Linked DNA regions of Oryctolagus cuniculus. The main gene of each other region encodes a partner of the protein of the gene in region 2 in a complex. Links are inferred from orthologs where the notes say so. Each region holds a gene or a part of one and is shown on either strand. Other genes may lie near its edges. The genes, in order: PA2G4 and ARVCF.

The links.
Region 1: ARVCF (region 2) and PA2G4 share a complex: the UniProt entries of both Homo sapiens proteins name them as parts of the ribonucleoprotein complex. The link is inferred for Oryctolagus cuniculus from reciprocal best matches to the Homo sapiens genes ARVCF and PA2G4.

Annotation. Positions count from the first base shown.
Region 1 is NC_091442.1:58,907,520-58,911,324, reverse strand, and holds part of PA2G4 (proliferation-associated protein 2G4), read right to left. Parts: intron 3,779-3,805; coding exon 3,709-3,778; intron 3,475-3,708; coding exon 3,382-3,474; intron 1,586-3,381; exon of another isoform or gene 816-1,585; intron 1-815. UniProt on the Homo sapiens protein: May play a role in a ERBB3-regulated signal transduction pathway. Seems be involved in growth regulation. Acts a corepressor of the androgen receptor (AR) and is regulated by the ERBB3 ligand neuregulin-1/heregulin (HRG).
Region 2 is NC_091452.1:27,677,407-27,681,732, forward strand, and holds the start of ARVCF (splicing regulator ARVCF), read right to left. Parts: upstream 2,849-4,326; 5' UTR 2,846-2,848; coding exon 2,740-2,845; intron 2,424-2,739; coding exon 2,209-2,423; intron 1-2,208. UniProt on the Homo sapiens protein: Contributes to the regulation of alternative splicing of pre-mRNAs.

The DNA.
Region 1 (3,805 bases), on a different chromosome or scaffold from region 2:
GGACAGTGGAGGATGGCCCAAGTCCTTGGGCCCTGCACCTGCATGGGAGACCAGGAGGAAGCACCTGGCTCCTGGCTTCGGATCAGCGCAGCGCGCCAGCTGTAGCATCCACTTGGGGGGTGAACCAATGAAAAAAGGAAGACCTTTCTCTGTCTCTCTCTCACTGTCTAACTTTGCCTGTCAAAAATAAATAAATAAAATAAAAAAATTTTTAAAAAGTATTAAGTGGAAAAATATGAAGTCTAGGTTTCTAATGTAAAGTCAGTGTTTACTCCTTTATACCTGGTGTTTCACCTGTTGAGGGGAGAGAGCACACCCTTAATTTTCCTTTGTGGTACAATCTGATCCTCATCTAAGCTACTAACTCTAAGTCAAATGAGTAATTAATCATAGCTAATATTTATTGAATATTTATGTGCCAGGTCCTGTGAGAAGCACTTTATATGGATCATCTCAATTATTTGAATCCTGAAAGAAGGCACAATTTTATTTTTCCCATTTTACAGATGAGAAAATTTGAATTAACTTCTAAAATAGTAAGAGTTGGCAATATGGTATGGACCCAGACTGATTTCATAGCTACATGCTAGCCACTAAGCAACTACTTTCCTGTAAGATGGACAGTAATCATAATAAAACTAAACATGTGAGGTAACAGAGCACTCAGGTGTTTAGGATGCCTGAGGCCCTGTCCAAAAGGCTGTGTAACAACTTTATGGAATAGGTATCACTGTAAAGAAACTAAGAGGATTAAATAAAAATAATGCAATTAAGTGGTGACAGGGGTTCCACCGTGGCCTGTGGAAGGGAGTCGGATGCTCCCCAGATCTTGGCAAGAGCAGAGCAAGTATTCTGTACTCTTGCCACCTACGATGAGCATGAGAACTCGCCACTCATTGTGTGGCTGCTTCTCCAAGAGTGGAATGAACTAAGAAATTACAATCATAGATGATGGGAGCCCAGATGGAACGAGAGATGTGGCTGAACTGCTGGAGAAGATCTATGGGCCAGACAAAATTCTTCTGAGGTCTCAAGAGAAGTTGGGACTAGGAACTGCATACATTCATGGAATGGAACATGCGATAGGAAATGACACCATCATAATGGATGCTGATCTTTCACACTATCCAAAATTTATTCCTGAATTCATCAGGAAGCGAAAGGAAGGAAATTCTGATATTGTGTCTGGAATTCACTACAAAGGAAAGAGAGGTATATTTGAAAAGAAAAATGATCAGCCATGGGGGCAACTTTATTACTCAGATTTTACTGAGACCAGGAGCATCTGTCTTATCTAACAGGAAGTTTCAGATTATAATGAAAAGAAGTTCTACAAAAATTAATAGAAAAATGTGTTTCTAAAGGCCATATCTTCCAGATGGAGATGACTGTTTGGGCAAGACAGCTGAATTATACTGTTGCTGAAGTTCCATTATCATTTGTGGATTGTGTTTATGGTGAATCCAAGTTGGAAGGAAATGAAAACAGTCTCTTTCTTGGAGACTCTTTTTGCTGCTACATAAAAGAAAAGTTATTTCTTTATGCTTATCAAGTTCATTTCCATTTAAACACGCAAGAAGCCTGATTACTGCTGTCTGTAAAATGTACTCCTAAAGCATCAATGATAAAGTGAATTCCATGCAGATATATTTTCTGGAGAAACTCCAATTTATATTTCAAATTAAATAATTTCAAAGCTCCTGGCTGAATAAGCAATGTTCTCAGTTTTCATTTATGTTTTGTGGTATTAAGACCTATGAATAAATGTATATGGATATTTTTGCATTAAAAAAGTGGTAATAGGAATAAAGTCTAAATTAAAAGTGTGAAGCATGGAAGAACACAGAAAAGGAGAAAAAAGATGCTTTAAATACTGAATGGGCCTCTGGAAATTTAAATTTAGAGAATTGTGTCCACTGACGATCTAAAGTGTATAATTCTGTTAGTCTATGAGAACCTTAGGACTTCTGGGCTTCCTAATTGTCATGCAGAGTCAGCGCTAACTCTGGACCAGCCCACTGGTATCGTCATCTCATTCCTATCTTTTTTTTTTTTAAGATTTATTCTTTTTTTTTACTTGATTTTTTTTTTTTTTGGACAGGCAGAGTGGACAGTGAGAGAGAGAGACAGAAAGAAAGGTCTTCCTTTGCAGTTGGTTCACCCTCCAATGGCCGCCGCGGCTGGCGCACCGCGCTGAGCCAAAGGCAGGAGCCAGGTACTTATCCTGGTCTCCCATGGGGTGCAAGGCCCAAGCACTTGGGACATCCTCCACTGCATTCCCTGGCCACAGCAGAGAGCTGGCCTGGAAGAGGGGCAACCGGGACAGAATCCGGCGCCCCGACCAGGACTAGAACCCAGTGTGCCGGCACCACAAGGTGGAGGATTAGCCAAGTGAGCCGCGACACCGGCCCCATTTTTTTTTTTTTTTTACTTGAAAGGCAATGTTACAGAGCAGGGAGAAAGAGGCAGAGACGGCAAGCTTCTATCTGCTGGTTCACTCCCCAAATGGCTGAGATGGCTAGAGCCAGGCCAATCTGAAGCCAGGAGCCAGGAGCTTCTTCCAGGTCTCCCACATGGGTGCAGGGGCCCAGGACTTGGGCCATCTTCCACTGCTTTCCTAGGCACATTAGCAGGGAGCTGGATTGGAAGTGGAGCAGCCAGGTCTCAAATGGAGCAGATATGGGACGCTGGTGCTGTAGGCAGAGGCTTAACCCACTATACCACAGCACCAGCACCCTATCCTTTTTCTGACTTTTGTTTTATAAAGGCTTTAAAACTGAGTTTGTAAGGTACTTAGCTCAAGTTATTTTGGGGACAGATGCACATACAAAACATGAAAAGAGGGGCAAGCATTTGGTTTAATAGTTAAGATGCTGCATGAGACACCCGCATCTCATTTCAGAGAGCTTGGATTCAAGTCCTGACTCCCTTCCTACTAATGTGCACCCTGGGAGGCAAGGCAGCAGGTGCTGGCTCAGGTCTCAGGGTCCTTATCACCCAAGACTGAATTCCCAGCTTCCAATTTTGGCCTGGCCCAGCCCCAGCTATTGCAGGCACGTGGGGAGTAACCAGTGAACAGTGTTTGTGTGCCTTTCAAATGAATAAGGTAAATACCATGAACAAAGAAAAGAAGGATCTCTACGTGCAGTTAAGGAAGAAACCATCACTCTGTGCACCTAGCACAGATCTGTCTGCTGTTGAGTGTCAAGCGCTTAGTTCCTGCCTCTTCTCTACAAGAATTCCCATCCTAAGACACAGCTTATTTTAAAAGGCTAGTTTTTAAATAGGGGGTGTGGGGGAAGTTGGCAGTTCTGTCCAGAGTGGCTACAGGTACCTAACGCATCTCGGGTTCTCTCTTTAGGGCTGGATAAAACAGCTTACCTGATTTCCAGGTTTGACCAGGCGCAGGGCAGCCTCAGCACAAAGGTGAGCTGCCTTAATGACATCTGCTTTCCGCCCTGTCACTTGGGTCCCCTGTGGATAAGGAAACCCATTCAGAGAAGCTGGCTAACTCAGCCCACCATGTGGGTAATATTTGTGCACCCAAGCCAATGAACATTAAAGAAAAAGTGTTTCTCTAGAGAATTCTGTAGACTCTCCCCAAACATGGTGGTAGGGGATAGGGCTGAGGCAACTGCAGTGCACACATACTCTCGCCCCCTGCAAACGAACCCCAGCTGGAACAGAGTTCAAAAGTAGGCCACCTACCTGAGCTACACCGACCACGAAAGTGTGAGCCACATTCGCGATAAAGCCATCCACATGGACCCCAAGGTCACTGAAAGGCAAGGGCAGAGTACCACAT
Region 2 (4,326 bases):
CCGTGCCCGCGGCGGGGGTGGCCTTTTCCCGCCTAGCGGTCGCTTTTGCTGAGCGAGCCTCCCGGCCCCCGGTTTGCTCCTGGTGAAGCAGCACGCACGCCCCCTCTGCCCGCAGACTTGGGGAAACTGAGGTGTGCCCCAAGGACGAGGGACAAGGTCATTCCGCAGGCACAAGGCACTCCACCCCGGCTGCGCCTGTTTCCCCTCGCTGTGCGATGGCGGCCCTCCTGGGTGGGCCATGGGGACGGCGGTCAGCTCTGCAAGTTCTCTCGGATCTGGCCCTAGTCCCCACCCAGCGCCAGGAGGTTCCCCCCAACCTCACAGCGCATCAAACCCAGGGCGGGGCGCAAGGGCCGAGGAGAGCACAGACAGCTACTAGGTGGCCCTAGATGAGGCACATCTCTGAGCCAGCCCCAGACCCTGTCTCCTCCTGCTGGGGGCAGGAATGGGGGCTGATCAGAGAGACCAGTCAGGACTGCTGCCCCCTGCAGCCTGGCATCCACCGGCACCACACCCAGGGAGTCTGGCTCTGTTTGGGGGAACGCAGGTAGGGCTGGGGCCACCCATGGCCCTGGTGTCACCAACAAGGAAACAGTTTCTGGGATCAGCAGCTACAGCCTGTGGCATGGATCTTGCCTCCCACCTGCTTCCCCTCCTCAGGGACCCCCTTCTGCGGGCCTGGTTTCGTGCCCAGGAGCCCTGGGTGCCCATCTGAGCCTGCAGACGTCTTACGGCAGCCCCTCGTGGAGCCATCCAGGTCACTCTGAGCAGGAGGGAACCACGCCCAGAGGCTTGGAGCCGGTCCTGTCTTCTCCCCAGCTTCCCCACAAACTGTTCATCCCCCAGGGCCCCTGGTGGACCCCTGCCCACTGGGTGAGGTCAGTCCTGCACCAGCTGGAGGGCCTGGGCAGGCGGCCAGGATTCTGCCGAAGGCCCCGAGCTTCTCATGCCCCTGGCTCTGACCCTGTGGCTCTGCAGCAGAGCACCAGGCCCCCAGGGCTGAGGCTGATCTGGGAGGCAGGTTTGGCTTCCGGGCCTGGCCAGCCTGGTGTGGCCCTGGGAACACGCACGTCCTCCCATCCCAGGCTGAGAAGATTGAGGGCCGAGATGGGGGGGGGGGGCAAGGGACAGTGACCCCCCGGCAGAGCAGCTCCAGGCTGTGGGAACATCTGTCCCTTCCACCAGGGCACCGACCTCCCACACTGCCCGTCCCTGTGCTGGAGAGCAGAGCCTGTTCCCACTCCCGGAGGCCTGGACTGTGTGCCTGGCGCCCAGCAGGCGGCCTCAGGGTCACTATCCCCATGTGGCCTAGTGGGACTATTCCACTTCCCTCCTTGGGTGGAACAAGACGTACCCTCCCAAGAACTGAGGCTGGGGCTGCGCGCAGGGGTGGCTGCGAGGTGTTTGGAAAGAGGGCTCCCCTATGGCGCCGGGAATCTGAGATGCCCACTTGGCTCCGCCTACATCCCTGTGCTGGGCCCTGTGCTTTAAGTGGGTCTCCTCCATGGGCCATCAGGGAGCCGAGGTCCCCCGGTCATTGCCCAGGCACCCCCCACCCCCAAGCCCAACGAGGCCGCTGCTTGGAGTCTCACATGTGCACCCAGGACCGGGCCGGGAGGACACGGCAGGTGCTGGGTGATGTGGGAAGAGGCGGGGCAGCCAGGCTGTGGGAACTGGGCAGGTCCCCCAGGGAACCCCAGAGGCACTTCCCTTTTCTCACCTCTGAGCTGGCTGGCGGGGGTGGGGGGCTGCAGTGGGAACCAGAGGGCCCTCCCCCTCTCCTGGCTGCCACCCCCTGGCTCTGATCAGTCACAGGAGCCACACCCAGCTCCAGGCCTCCCCCTGCACAGCTTGTCGTCCCTCACCCCTGCGCTGGGGACGGGGGAGCTGCTGTCACCCCATTCGCAGGTTAGAACAACATTGTTGGCCCGGAGATCCTGGGGCAGGCAAAAGTCCTCTGTGTTGTGGCTGACCAAGGAGTTACCCAGCAAATACCCTGCCCAGCTGTCGAGGCCCAGGGGCTCCTCAGTGGAGGGTCCTATTCTGGGGGTCTGGCTTTGTCCCACTCGCTCTTCACACGGTGCTCCTCTCTCCCCTTCCCAGCACCTCAGGAGGGCTTGCAAGAACCCCTACTGTGTGCTAGCCCTCGGTCTACTGAGACCCCTGGAGTGTTTTTCTCCCCCTCCTCCCGAGTCACTGGGCTGTTACCTGCAGGACCAGCTGTTGCCAGGCCATCGGCAGGGCCTGCCCACTGTGGCCCACGCCGGGCTGCTGGGCACGCTCCAGCTGCAGAGCCACGTGGCGCCGCTCCTGCTCCAGCGCCCGCGTCAGCCGCTCGAAGCGGGCCTCCTGCTCCTTCACCGAGGCCAGGATGCTGGCGGCCGAGTGCACGCTGTAGTCCTCCATGGCTGGGGTTGCACTAGCTGCAGGCAGAAGCAGAGCATGCTCAGGGCGGGGTGGGTGGTGGCCTCATGGGGGCCCACCACGGGCCCCCTGCCTGCCCACCCAGGCGCCCGGAGCGCACGTCACGAGAATCGCTCCCTCTGGAAGGAAGCCGCATTGATTAAATTCTGAATTAAAAGCCATTAATCCGAGGCCAGAAGCAGTCCGCTCACTCCCTGCAGGGCTCCAGGCTCATCCCAGGCTCCCCTACTTCCTGCCAGGCCCACAGAACCAGAGGATTGGGGGAGGGGCGGCTCACTGGGAAGGGAGGGGGCTGGCGTAATGAGCACTCACTACCTCTCAGGCCTTCTTCTGCCAGGAGCCAGGAACTTCTTCCAGATCTTCCAAGTGGGTGCAGGGGCCCAAGGACTTGGGCCATCTTCCACTGCTTTCTCAGGCACATTAGCAGGGAGCTGGATCGGAAGTGGAGCGGCCGGGACTCGAACCGGCATCCATAAGGGATGTCAGCACTGCAGGCCAGGGTTTTAACCTGCTGTGCCACAGCGCCAGCCCTGCTCACCCTGATCTCAGGAGCCACCCCAGCCCTGTCTCGGGTCAGGCCTGCAAGTAGGCAGAGCTCAGATCCGGACTCACTGCCTGGAGACTGGTATGCACGGCTCGGTGCTCCATGTCCGCCCACTGAGGAAGACTCCGAGCCCCACTGTGTAGTGGGGACACTGTGGAGAACCAATGAGCTGCAGTGCCAGCTGCCAGGCCAGAGCCTCCCACCCCACCCCAGGAGGAAGGGTCAGGGCCAGCGCGTACCCCAGGGGTGAAGGGAGGGACACCATACTGCTGTGACAGCTGGGGAAACTGAGGCCCAGCACAGGCCCCTGCGGCTGCTCCGCCTTTCCCCTGCCCCTGTCACAAAAACAAAACTGTCCCCGTGACCTTGCAGGGACACTGCTATGAGAAGAGGAGCTGTCACAGCCAAAGAACCAAACTCCTGTTGGGAGAGGTGGCGGCCACCACCCAGGAAATGGAACTGGGTCGGAGAGTGGGAGAGACGTGGGAGAGACAGACTGCCAAGGCACACAGGGACAGACAGCAGGGGACATGCGGCCTGGGTGTACAAACTAGCTAATGCCAACTAATGCAATGAACCTGGCCATGGGCCCCAGGTGGGCATGGTGGGGCCTCTTAGGCAGGTGAGTTGGGGGTTTGGGGACTGGAAGAGGGCAGGAGCCAGGCCACCTGAGCCCTCAGCCAAGCCTGGTGGCAGCAATGGACATCTCACTGAGTCTCAAGACCAAGGGACAGAAAGGAATAGGATCAGGACACCGCCCCCCCCCCCGCCACCAGCAGTGGCAGGTGGTGCTGGCCTGGTGGATGGGGTGACTTTCTTCCCTCCTTGTATGCTGCCCGAGCCCAGCCTTCACCTGCATGGCCTGGGGGCAGCTTCCCTGCCCTGGGGTCCACGGAAGTGCCAACCTCCCCTGGAAGGAGACCCCTGCTGACTCTGGCTGGGGGCCCAGAATTCTGAGGCCAGCGGCCAGTGTGAGAAGATGGCCAAACCCTGGCTTTCCCATTGCCTGATTTGGTTCACCCAGAGGGAGATAACCACGTGCCTCCAACGCTGGCCAGCTTGGCAGGCGGTGGAGTCCCGGCAGCACCCATGGGACCACAGAGGCCCGAGTGCCAGGCCTGTGCTGTCTGCCTTCGGACAACACACACAGGAGCACGTGCTTGGACACAGGGGCCCTGGTCCAGCACCGGGAGGCGGCTTCTCCGCGATAACTCAAAATGCAATTTCTATATTAAAACAATAAATACGGGGGGTGTCATGGAAAACAAAATGTGTGCATGAATTTTTAAGACAGATGGCGGAGCATCAGAGATGCTGTCTGTGGTTAGGGGCTTGGCGTGGGGGGGGGGCAGGCAGGG